Xenopus tropicalis: one gene and its partners. The protein of the gene in region 1 binds, or shares a complex with, the protein of each later gene. Links are inferred from orthologs where the notes say so. Each region holds a gene or a part of one and is shown in the gene's direction. Other genes may lie near its edges. The genes, in order: ints4, ints6 and ints12.

What was found.
Region 2: ints4 (region 1) and ints6 share a complex: the UniProt entries of both Homo sapiens proteins name them as parts of the integrator complex. The link is inferred for Xenopus tropicalis from reciprocal best matches to the Homo sapiens genes INTS4 and INTS6.
Region 3: ints4 (region 1) and ints12 share a complex: the UniProt entries of both Homo sapiens proteins name them as parts of the integrator complex. The link is inferred for Xenopus tropicalis from reciprocal best matches to the Homo sapiens genes INTS4 and INTS12.

Annotation. Positions count from the first base shown.
Region 1 is NC_030678.2:168,913,477-168,917,130, reverse strand, and holds part of ints4 (integrator complex subunit 4), read left to right. Parts: intron 1-929; coding exon 930-1,135; intron 1,136-1,390; coding exon 1,391-1,533; intron 1,534-1,647; coding exon 1,648-1,763; intron 1,764-2,987; coding exon 2,988-3,121; intron 3,122-3,400; coding exon 3,401-3,558; intron 3,559-3,654. UniProt on the Homo sapiens protein: Component of the integrator complex, a multiprotein complex that terminates RNA polymerase II (Pol II) transcription in the promoter-proximal region of genes.
Region 2 is NC_030678.2:149,895,564-149,899,217, reverse strand, and holds part of ints6 (integrator complex subunit 6), read left to right. Parts: intron 1-25; coding exon 26-209; intron 210-763; coding exon 764-889; intron 890-1,994; coding exon 1,995-2,149; intron 2,150-3,654. UniProt on the Homo sapiens protein: Component of the integrator complex, a multiprotein complex that terminates RNA polymerase II (Pol II) transcription in the promoter-proximal region of genes.
Region 3 is NC_030677.2:72,498,324-72,501,871, forward strand, and holds part of ints12 (integrator complex subunit 12), read left to right. Parts: intron 1-1,346; coding exon 1,347-1,534; intron 1,535-2,358; coding exon 2,359-2,518; intron 2,519-3,278; coding exon 3,279-3,434; intron 3,435-3,548. UniProt on the Homo sapiens protein: Component of the integrator complex, a multiprotein complex that terminates RNA polymerase II (Pol II) transcription in the promoter-proximal region of genes.

The DNA of each region.
Region 1 (3,654 bases):
ACATAGGCCAGTAATGGTCTGGTGTTGCCCAGTCAGCTTTTGTTGGCCTATGTATGGCCACCTTTACACTACAGTTAGCAGCCAAGGTAACATAGTTAGGTTGAAAAACGTCCATCAAGTTAAATCTTAATGCCTATATATAACCTGGCAAAGAGGAAGGCAAAAAGCCCTTCTGAAGCTAATTTGCCGCAGAGGGGGAAAAAAATCCTTCCTGACTCCAAGATGGCAATCGGACCAGTCCCTGGATCAATTTGTACTAAGATCTATCTCCCATAACCCTGTATTCCCTCAATTTGCTAAAAAGCCATCCAGCCCCTTCTTGAAGTTATATAATGTATCTGCCAGTACTACTGGTTCAGGGAGGGAATTCCACAACTTCACAGCTCTCACTGTAACAAACCCTTTCCGAATATTTAGACAGAACCTCCTTTCTGCTAATCGGAGTGGGTGCTTTTGTGTCAGTTGGAAGGACCTACTGGTAAATAAAGCATTAGAGAGGTTATTCTATGATCCCCTTATATATTTATACATAGTTATCATGTCCCCACTTAAGCGCCTCTTCTCCAGTGTAAACAGACCCAACTGGGCCAGTCTTTCCCCATAACTGAGACTTTCCATACCCTTTACCAGCTTAGTTGCCCTTCTCTGGACCCTCTCTAACTCAATAATGTCCCGTTTGAGCACTGGAGACCAAAACTGAACAGCATATTCTAGATGGGGCCTTACCAGCGCTCTGTAAAGGGGAAGAATAACCCCCTCCTCCCGTGAATCTATACCCCTTTTAATACAAGTTGACTCCCTGTTTTATTCCTTAAGTAGCTCCTTATGTGTTATTTGTAATACTAATGGACAGCAACATTAACATTTCTCTAAAAATCCAGCTATCTGTGTACTCCTACCTAACCTAACCTCTTGTGGCTTATTTCCAGAGGTGAGGATTGCTGCTGTGGAGTCCTTGTGCCTGCTGGCCCGCTCCTCCGCTCCTTTCGCTGAGAAATGCTTGGATTTCCTGGTGGACATGTTTAACGACGAGATTGAGGAGGTACGCCTGCAGTCCATCCACACCATGCGCAAGATCTCGGACAATATCACCCTGCGAGAAGATCAGCTGGACACAGTGCTGGCCGTGCTGGAGGTGAGAAACTTCTAGAAACTTCATTTTCTAAGGGCTTCCTGGCAAGCCTTAAATTCAGTGCTGATGTTATGTGGTAATGTTTAAAGATTAGAACAAGTGTAGCAGTTTTTTAGGGGGTCGGGGAGGGGGGGGCATTGAAGTAACTACAAAGTTCTCTGGGAGTATTTAAAATAATAAATGGTCATTCTTATAGTTTGGCCTTTAGACTGAAGTATGCTTTTGGTGCCATGTATCTCACAACACTATGTTCTGCAGGATTCTTCCCGAGATATCCGGGAGGCCCTTCATGAGCTGCTCTGCTGCACAAACGTTTCCACCAAGGAGTGTATCCAGTTGGCTCTGGTTGAACTGTTGAAGAACCTCTCCAAATACCCCACCGACCGGGAGTCCATTTGGAAGTAAGTATGGAGGTCCATGCTGAGTAGCTTGAAATAGGTCGTTCTAGTCAGATTTTGCTCATTGCCAAGGTCTCCCTGACAAGCTCGGCCTAAGGCATTTTTGTTATGTTTCAGGTGTTTAAAGTTCCTTGGGAGCCGACACCCCACCCTGGTGTTGTCTCTCGTCCCAGAGCTCCTAAGCACCCACCCTTTTTTCGATACACCAGAGCCTGACATGGATGACCCAGCCTGTATCCTTCTTTTGCTCAGTGACTTGGTGTGTGTGACAGGGGGGAAGGGCGGAATGATAATACTTGTTGGGGGCATCCTTAATGGAGAAGGATCTGGGGGTTTTCTGTAGATAACAAGTTGTCTAATTCCTGGCAGTGTCATTCTGTGGCTACTAAAGCAAATAAAGTGCTGTCTTGTATAAAAAAGGGCATTCACTGAAGGGATGAAAACATCATTTTGCCCCTTTATAGGTCCCTGGTAAGGCCTCACCTTGAGTATGGGGGGCAGGTTTGGGCTCCAGTCCTTAAGAAGGATATTAATGAGCTGGAGAGAGTGCAGAGACTGCAAATTAACTGCTAAAGGGGATGGAAGGTTTAAGCTATGAGGTGAGACTGTCGAGGTTGGGGTTGTTTTCTTTGGACATGCGAGGGGACATGATTACTCTGTACAAATACATTAGAGGGGATTATAGGCAGATAGGGGGTGTTGTGTTTTCCCATAAAAGCGATCAACGCACCAGAGGCCCCCCCTTTAGATTAGAGGAATGGAGCTTCCATTTGAAGCAGCGTAGGTGTTTTTTAACAGTGAGGGCAGTGAGGTTGGGGAATGCCCTTCCTAGAGATGGGGTAATGGCAGACTCTGTTAATGCCTCTAAGAGGGGCCTGGATGAGTTCTTGAACAAGTATAGTATCCAAAGCTATTGTGATACTAATATCTACAGTTAGTATTAGTGGCTGTGTATGTAGTTTATGTATGTGAGTGTATAGATAGGTAAGTATAGGGTGTGAGTGCTGGGTTTACTTGGAAGGGTTGAACTTGATGGACTCCTTTTTTCAACCCTATGTAACTATGAGAGGTCTTGGTTTAACTAAGTTTGGAGACATTGCGGCAATACCTGTTTCCATGGATCCTGCATTTTGCCACTAGGTGGAGCTTGCAGTGGCAACTAATATTTATTCCCTATAAGTTATGGCTTGGGTTATAAACATGTAAATGGATAAAGGTAACTCCAAACAATATGTGGAAATCTTTGGAGGGAAAACAATATTTTGTCTTAAAGAAGAAGAAAAGTCTGAATCACTGGGGGTTGTCAAATGGTGATTGTAATCACTTACCTGATACCCCTGGGTAGTGCTCCTTTGAGCAGAAAACTGCAACAAACGTAACTGAGACTTTCCTTCTCCCTTTAAATGATTCTTCATTCCTAAGCTTTGCTTACATTGGATCTTAACATTGCTCTCCAGACATTGCAGTTCTGGTTCTGATATTCAATGCTGCCAAATGCTGCCCCACCATGCCGGCTCTGTTCTCGGACCACACTTTCCGCCATTATGCCTACTTACGGGACAGCCTGTCCCACCTTGTTCCTGCTCTTAATGTGAGTGTCATAGGCACAGTGCTGATATATTAGATTGTTTAATCTGATTGTAGGTTCTGCCAAATTTATGGGGCTTTAATTTTTGTGTATGATGAATTTCCATAGAAATGAAATTCTGACCCCCAGTTACTGTTGCTTTTAACTGTTACTTTTAAAATGTTCATTCTGTACAGAGAATCTGTATTGTACAGCAAGCAGTATGGCAGCTCCCACTTCTAATGTACAGTATGACTGATAAAACCTCACCATTATGCCATGTTTCTCTGTGTTTCTCCTCAGTTGCCAAGTGTGAGGTGGTCTTGGGTCCCAGATGTGGTCACAGAGGCCCCTCCTGAGGATCCTTCCCAGCAGTTCCTTCAGCTCAGCTTAGAACGGGTGCAGAATCTCCAGCACCTCGGCTCACAGGGGACACAGGAGCTGCTGGAATTCACCATTCGGTAACTAATGTGTAATTGTATGGGTGAAGCACCCAAAGGGTACTATGTGCTTAACAGTCTTGAATTACTGGTGAAGTAGAGACGAGTGCAATAAAT
Region 2 (3,654 bases), about 19 Mb from region 1:
GTTTTACTCCTTGTCTCTTATTTAGCTCCACTTGCCTTTGATTTCTCCGTTACCTGGCAGTGAACTGACAAAAGAGCCATTTCGCTGGGATCAGAGACTTTTTGCTCTGGTGCTTCGTCTGCCTGGAGCATCATCGGTAGAGCAAGAGCAGCCAACCGCCGTTCAGTTTGATGAGTCCCCTATTACTGCCATGTGTGATGTGACTGGAGGTAGGTCCATGTATGATTACTGAGTCAAGCACTGCGCAAAGTGTGTCTGTGTGCTTCCATGAATAGTGGTAGTTTTGTCATTGTTCTGGAATCCATTCCCATCTTAGACTTAACAGATCCCAAATGGACTGCTAGTGTCTCTTGTCAGCACATAAATGAGCATCAGCAGCTTGCTTTCTCTCATATGGGGTATCAGCTAGACAGACAAATCAGTGCTATCTAGCTGTCCATTTGCATTGCAGTGTAGTCAGAAAACCGTTCAGTCAGTCCATGCATGACTCCCTTTAGTCTCCAAAGATCCCAAAAAAATTCTAATGTAATGTTTAATATACCAAATTGAAGTGTGTGCTTAAGAAGTCACACACAACTGATTGTACAGTATGTGCTGCTATTCTTTTTTTGTCATCGGTGTGTATATTTGTATCCATATAGATGAAATATAATTTAATATAATAACTGCACTTGACTGGTTTACATCTGTGATGCAGGGCCCAAAGGAAACTGACAATGCCAATTTTCCTGCTTAAGGTTGAAGATATTTGATTTCTTTCTAGGGCGATCATATAGTGTTACTTCACAACGCATTCTTAACCAGTGTCTAGAGTCGTTGGTGCAAAAGATTCAAAGTGGAGTAGTGATTAACTTTGAAAAGTCTGGACCAGATCCTCCAATTCTAGAGGGTAACTACAGTTCTGTTAACATTTGTATCCTTTTTGATTGTGTTCTAACAAATAAACTTGAACTCAATGCATGTGTCTTTCTCAACAACATGGGTGTAACTATAGAGGTAAATGACCCTGCAACTTTTTGGGTGCCTAGGAACTCTAGGGGACAAAGTGGGACTTTGACTGATAAGGAGGTGCAATATATGTTAAGGGAAATGTCTTTTTTTCGAAAGTTTAGTGGCTCAGTGATCTTGCTGCAGGGCCCAGTTACTCGCCATTCCACTGCCGAAAAGGGTAGGAGATTCAGTAAATAGATCCCAATATAGAAAGTGCTGCTTTCTTGCCAGCTGTGGAGATTAAGGAGGCTTTGTGAATCTTTTTATTTATCTATTATTTCAAACTCCCACTTCCTGTGGGATAAAGGGTATATTCAAAATATGACTTGTGAAATCCTATAGTTGTCTGGTTACGTTGTTGTTCAGTGTAACCAATGTATGACCTTGGTGTTGGCACTGTAAGTACTGTTTCTGTGTTTGCTTATGATATAAAGTTGTGCTAAATATGAACCAAACAAGATGTTTCCGTTGTGATTTGAATATATCAGTGGAGTGCTTGGCTAGATGGAAAGTCATGTTCCAAAGAGATAAAAAATACACACAAGGTTATGGACAAAAACTGGATTTATTGTAGGTGCAAACCTAGGCTTGATTGGTTCAAGGGAACAAAATAATAAATCCCATGTTAGACTCTGCTTAATTGAACAGTGTGGTTATGGGAGCCAGTTCACCTTTCCTTCTCCTTGATGTAGGATGCTTTTATTAGTAATGACATTTAATTTTTTTTAATCATTTTTTAAATTTTAACAAATTCCGAATATGCACTTTCCTTCAGGGAGTGACATTTTATCTTTAGCATAGAATCTTTTATAATTGTTTATGTCTTTTGCCTGTAGTCACATGCCAGGGTAAGTAGGTCAGCAATATGCTGGCAGCCATCCATGCTTGGGGGTACCAACTAGGCTAGGGCCTGCTACTTACATTTATGGCTAGCCAAATGTTTGGCTAGGAATGGAATTATTAAAATGTTCAACATTAATAAAAACATTATTTGTTCCTTTCAGATGGACCTACAGACCCAGTCAGATCAGTTGGATCCCAACCCTGGCACAGCTGTCGCAAACTCATATATGTTAGGCCCAATCCAAAAGCAGGCGTCCCTCTAGGTCACTGGCCTATTCCAGAATCCTTTTGGCCAGATCAGAATTCTCCAACATTAGTAAGTAATTAGATTATACATATCTATTTTAGACCTGTGGTTATTCAGATATACAAAACTGCTGATACTGATTTCCCAATATGAGTGAAAGTAAGGCTGATGTCCCACAAAGCGTTGTAGTCGGTTTATCCCCTTCCCCTATGCAGATGGCCAGTGTTTTAGTTGTCCTCACAGTACAAAGTAAGACTATATTGCAGGTATTGGACCTCTCATCTGGAAACCCATTATCCAGAAAGTTCCGAATTACAGAAAGGCCATCTCCCATAGACTCTATTTTAATCAAATAATTCACATTTGTTAAAATGGTTTCCTTTTTCTCTATAATAATAAAACCGTAGCTTGTACTTGATCCCAACTAAGATATAATTAATCCTTATTGGAGCCAAAACAATAACACTGGGTTTAATTACTGTTTAAATAATTATTTAGTAGACTTAAGGTAAGAGATCCAAATTACGGAAAGACCCCTTATCCGGAAAACCCCAGGTCCCGGGCATTCTGGATAACTGGTCCCATACCTGTAGTATAATTTAATAGTATATACATAGTAGCTCTTCTAAACCCTTGTACCAACTGCTATACTGTTGGATGGTCCTATCTCAATAATGTTAATGGCCATCACATGGCTTCGGTATTCCAAAGTCATGCGAAGTTTCAATTTCTTGCAACTTTAGTTTAGAAGAGCTGGTCTGTATATGGCCATCTGCATAGGGGAAGGGGATCTATATTAGCTGGGGAGTTACAGTAAAGTTGTGGTTATAAGTGTACCAAGGCAAGATTAATTGAAAATAGTCATTTTCATTGCTGATTAATTAGTATGCTGTGGGCCATGTCTTTCCCTAATTGGCCTTCAGCCACTTCAAGGCCTCCCAAGGGAACCAGCCGCACCGTTTGGGAACCTTCATATTAGGGCCAGGGCACACAGAGCATTGGCTCTGCTGCCCTCAACTTACGTTTATTTTTTCAGGCTGAGGGAAGCGGATTTGCTCCCTTCCTCAGCTCTGTTGATCTGCACTTTAGGCACACTCAGCGGAGCACAGCGAAGAACGGCCCTGAAACATGAAAGCAGGCATTTTTGGGCCAACCTCCACTCTCGCTTGTGTGCAGGCACAGGCAGCAAAGCTGTACTTTTAACTGCAGATCAATGGAGCTGGGGTAGGGAGTGTATCTGCCCTAAACTGATGTCACTTGGGAAAGCTAACTCCCATTTTTCTGAGTGAGAGCTGTCCAGTATTAAAAGGGCATGTGTGTATGAGGGAAAACATTAAATACCTGCTTATCTGCCAACATATGAACCATGTTTTGATTGAAAAATAGTATTTCAGAGTATTTAAGGGCCCAAGATGTACATACAGACCCCTTTCCTTCTGGTTTAAAAAAAATGTTATTCTTGACGCAGTGCATATGTGTGTCTAATACCGTAACAGTTATAGACATTAAGTTACAACTGCCCTAATGCCCAGCTCAGTAGAATCTGTATTAATATGTGTAATTTCCTCGTTTTA
Region 3 (3,548 bases), on another chromosome or scaffold:
GTAAAAAGACAAACTCAAAAACTTTGTGTTCGTCTGTGCAATGACTTAAGGTGCGGTCCCCGATTCGACTGAATTTTCTAACCTGCCCGATCGATATCTGCCCATTTTCAGGCCAGATATCTGTCGGGCAGGCCCCTCGTTTCTGCCCCTACATGGGCCGATAAGCTGCTGAATCGGTCCAAGGGACCAATATCGGCAGCTACTATCGGCCCGTGTATGGGGACCTTAAAAGTGAGTGTTTTATTGTGAGTGAATGTCTTCATTTCTTTGTTTCTTCCAAACTTGAGTTTTTAGCCATTTCGATTCAGTACTGCCTGATCTGTCAAAACTGCATTAGTGCTGTGTTTTATGCATATACACATATATTCTGCAGGTTCTGCAGCTTTTAGGTGTCAAACTTTTTCTAATTCAAGAAAGACCGCTAGGGGAAAAATGCCTCGGCTAAAGAGTTTTTTTCCCACGAAACCCCCCTTGAGTTCCTTAACTCGTGGGGTTTCCTTTGTGATTACACGAGGTAAAAGGCTCAAGCAGTCATAAATCGGCCCCTAATTGTTGAGGTCTGTGGCAAACAAGGCGTTTCCTCACTATCAAATTGTGAGATCACCATTGTTTACTTTCCATTGATATCAATGCAATGCACATAAAGTAGATCTGGCTCATATGTCATAACAACAGATGTGCAAGGGTTAATTTTGGTGGCTTCTTATTACTCAACAAGAAGCCGTGCCCCCTGTTTGTGTCATTGATGAGAAACTTTTTGTGCCAGGCTGACTGTGCTTTTTTCTTATTTATAGCTCTTTACAATTTTTTCCAGAACGCAGTCTATTGTTCACTTTAGGGCAGTTGTCATGGTCACACAGGACAGAATATTTTCTTTTGAAATGTAGCACTTTTGCAACATGCACTGTGGAATTATCTAGTCTCCTATAGCAATATATCACTATAAAATTTCACTAGTATTCAGGTTCTACCAAGAGTGTGTAGAACTTTATCTCTGAATTTTCACCAGGGGTATGTATAGCCCCTCAGATACGCTAAGGTGAAAATTGTATCAAAATCACCTGTGCGCTAGTATTTGAAGCAAGTCCCATTGCTAGGCAACTGGGCAATTTCAGTCATTTTCAGTTGCTTTTTCAGTGGGGGGGAAACTGCAGCAGGCAAACGGCTACATTTTTTGTCGTTGGTTTTAGTTTTATATATAGATTTTTATACAATATAATTAGCCAACACAATATGTGGCCATATGCAGTTCAGGCTGGTTCTTATTGCTAGGTTGCTAAAATGTTTGTATTATGTAGAGTATCGCACTGTTATGCAGTCAATTCTGTATTTGTTTGGGCTGACAGATGAAAGTGGAAATCAGTGATGTTATGGATATTCCAAAGAAGCCTCGTATAGAGAAGACAGAAGCTCGTTCTTCCCCTGTCACAGTACAGTTAAGCAAGGATTTGCCTGTGCCAGATCTCTCAAGCTTTGACGAGACCAGTGCTGATGATTTTGCCATGGAGATGGGGTTGGCTTGTGTTGTTTGTCGGTAAGTGTTTATTTCCCTCAGACCTTCTATGTCTGTGTGTTTGAAAAGAATTAATGGGCTAAAAGTAGAAGGCTTCTGACACACTCAGCTTTGGTTTAGCATTCAGCCAGAATACCTATACATTTCTGTGTGATGACCAACCGAATTCTGGCTTCCATATTATTTATGGTGCTTAACTCCTTTAAGCACCCCATCTTCCATTTTCTCTCTATTGTCTTTTCATTTCCTTCTAGAAATTATTAATCTCATCTTCATCTTGATTTTTTTCTTTATAAATCTGATATTCTCCTATATCACCACTATCATGAACCATCTACAGCAATCTGTTTATCTTATTAACTTACAACACAGACAGATACCCTCTGTACAATAACTTCCTTTTTTTTCTCGTTTTGAAACAATTTCATAAGAAGATTTAAACCTAAGGGCTCTGGCACACGGGGAGATTAGTCGCCCGCGGCAAAACTCCCTGTTCGCGGGCGACTAATCTCCCCGAGTTGCCTACCCCTGCCATCCCACCGGCGAACATGTAAGTCGCCGGCGGGATGGCAGATGCGGCGGGGCGATTTGCGTGAAATCGTGCCGCCTCGTCTGCCATCCCGCTGGCGACTTACATGTTCATGTACATTTGTTGTTGACCATGATTTTGTTTATTAATAATTAGCTTATCTTAGTGCTGCAAAATATAGTATTTTCTATGATAATGTTATGAAGCTGACATATGAATCAGAAGTTATGCCTAAATATCTGGAACGGCTAATATCTGGTCTTTGCTAGATTTCTAAAATGTGAAATTTAATGTCACCTTTTTTCATTGATTTTAGACAAATGACTGTGTTCTCCGGCAATCAGCTGGTTGAATGCCAGGAGTGCCACAATCTGTACCATCAGGACTGCCACAAACCACAGGTCACAGATAAAGATGTGAATGACCCACGGTTGGTGTGGTATTGTGCTCGCTGCACAAGGCAAATGAAAAGAATGGTAAGTCTTTGAGGTACAGGTGGTAATGGTCCCGAAAAAGTGGAATTGATTAGCAGTAGATAGAAAGTTGTGATATTCAAGGACTGGAGCAAGATGAGCAAGTTGTAATCTTAAGTGCAATTTCAAGCACAAGTCGCCATGTTTTTTCTGACATAATGTTTTCCCAGAATTTCAGTGTAATTGTGGTCATGAGAGGGCGATGCACCCGGTGCAATTGTGGCTGAAGTGTCTAACGTAACATAATTGCTCTTGCACTTTGATGCAAATCTTGATTATATTGCATTGAAATTTTGAGTTCCGATGGGGTCACTTCTGCCCTTCACAGTTAAAATGTTGGTGTGCGATTCTTAAGATGCAATGGGTTTATTTATCAATTTTTAAATTTGTCAATTTGAGACTTTTTCTAATTCAAATAAACTCACATTTCGAATGCTCGCAAATTTATTAATATGGAAAACTAATTAATCTCTCCCCATGTGCTGCGGCAGTTGACACAGGCCACTGTGGGAGCCCTGGAGCTACCTCCTGGTTCAGAGGTGGTGGTAGATGCAGGGTTCACCTGTGTCAGTGTTCGAACCCTGATAAAAGAAGACCACTGTATTTTTCTTTGTTTGAACCCCATACACAATGGGCAAGTTAGCAGCTAAAGTTGGTTTATGTATAGCCACCTTAAATTATACTGTGTGTTTAGAGGTTATAAATATCCAGTTTGTAGTTAAGGTGCTACTCTTATAGATCATGTCTTTCATTCTAACCAAAGGCACAAAAGAATCAGAAACCCTCACAGAAGCCATCCCCATCAGCTGTATCTGCAGTGACACCTGTAGCAAAGGATCCCTCTGTTAATAAACCTGAGCTGAAAGCTAAGCCCGATTCTGCAAATACATTCTTAGCTTTCAAGAGAGCAGAAGTTAAGGTATGTTTTTATAGACTTTTATTGCTCCTTAAAGTGAATCTTTCATAAACATTTATTATTATATCTATTATCAAACTTGTCTCATAAGTAATGAGATGTTTGCATAGTATGTTT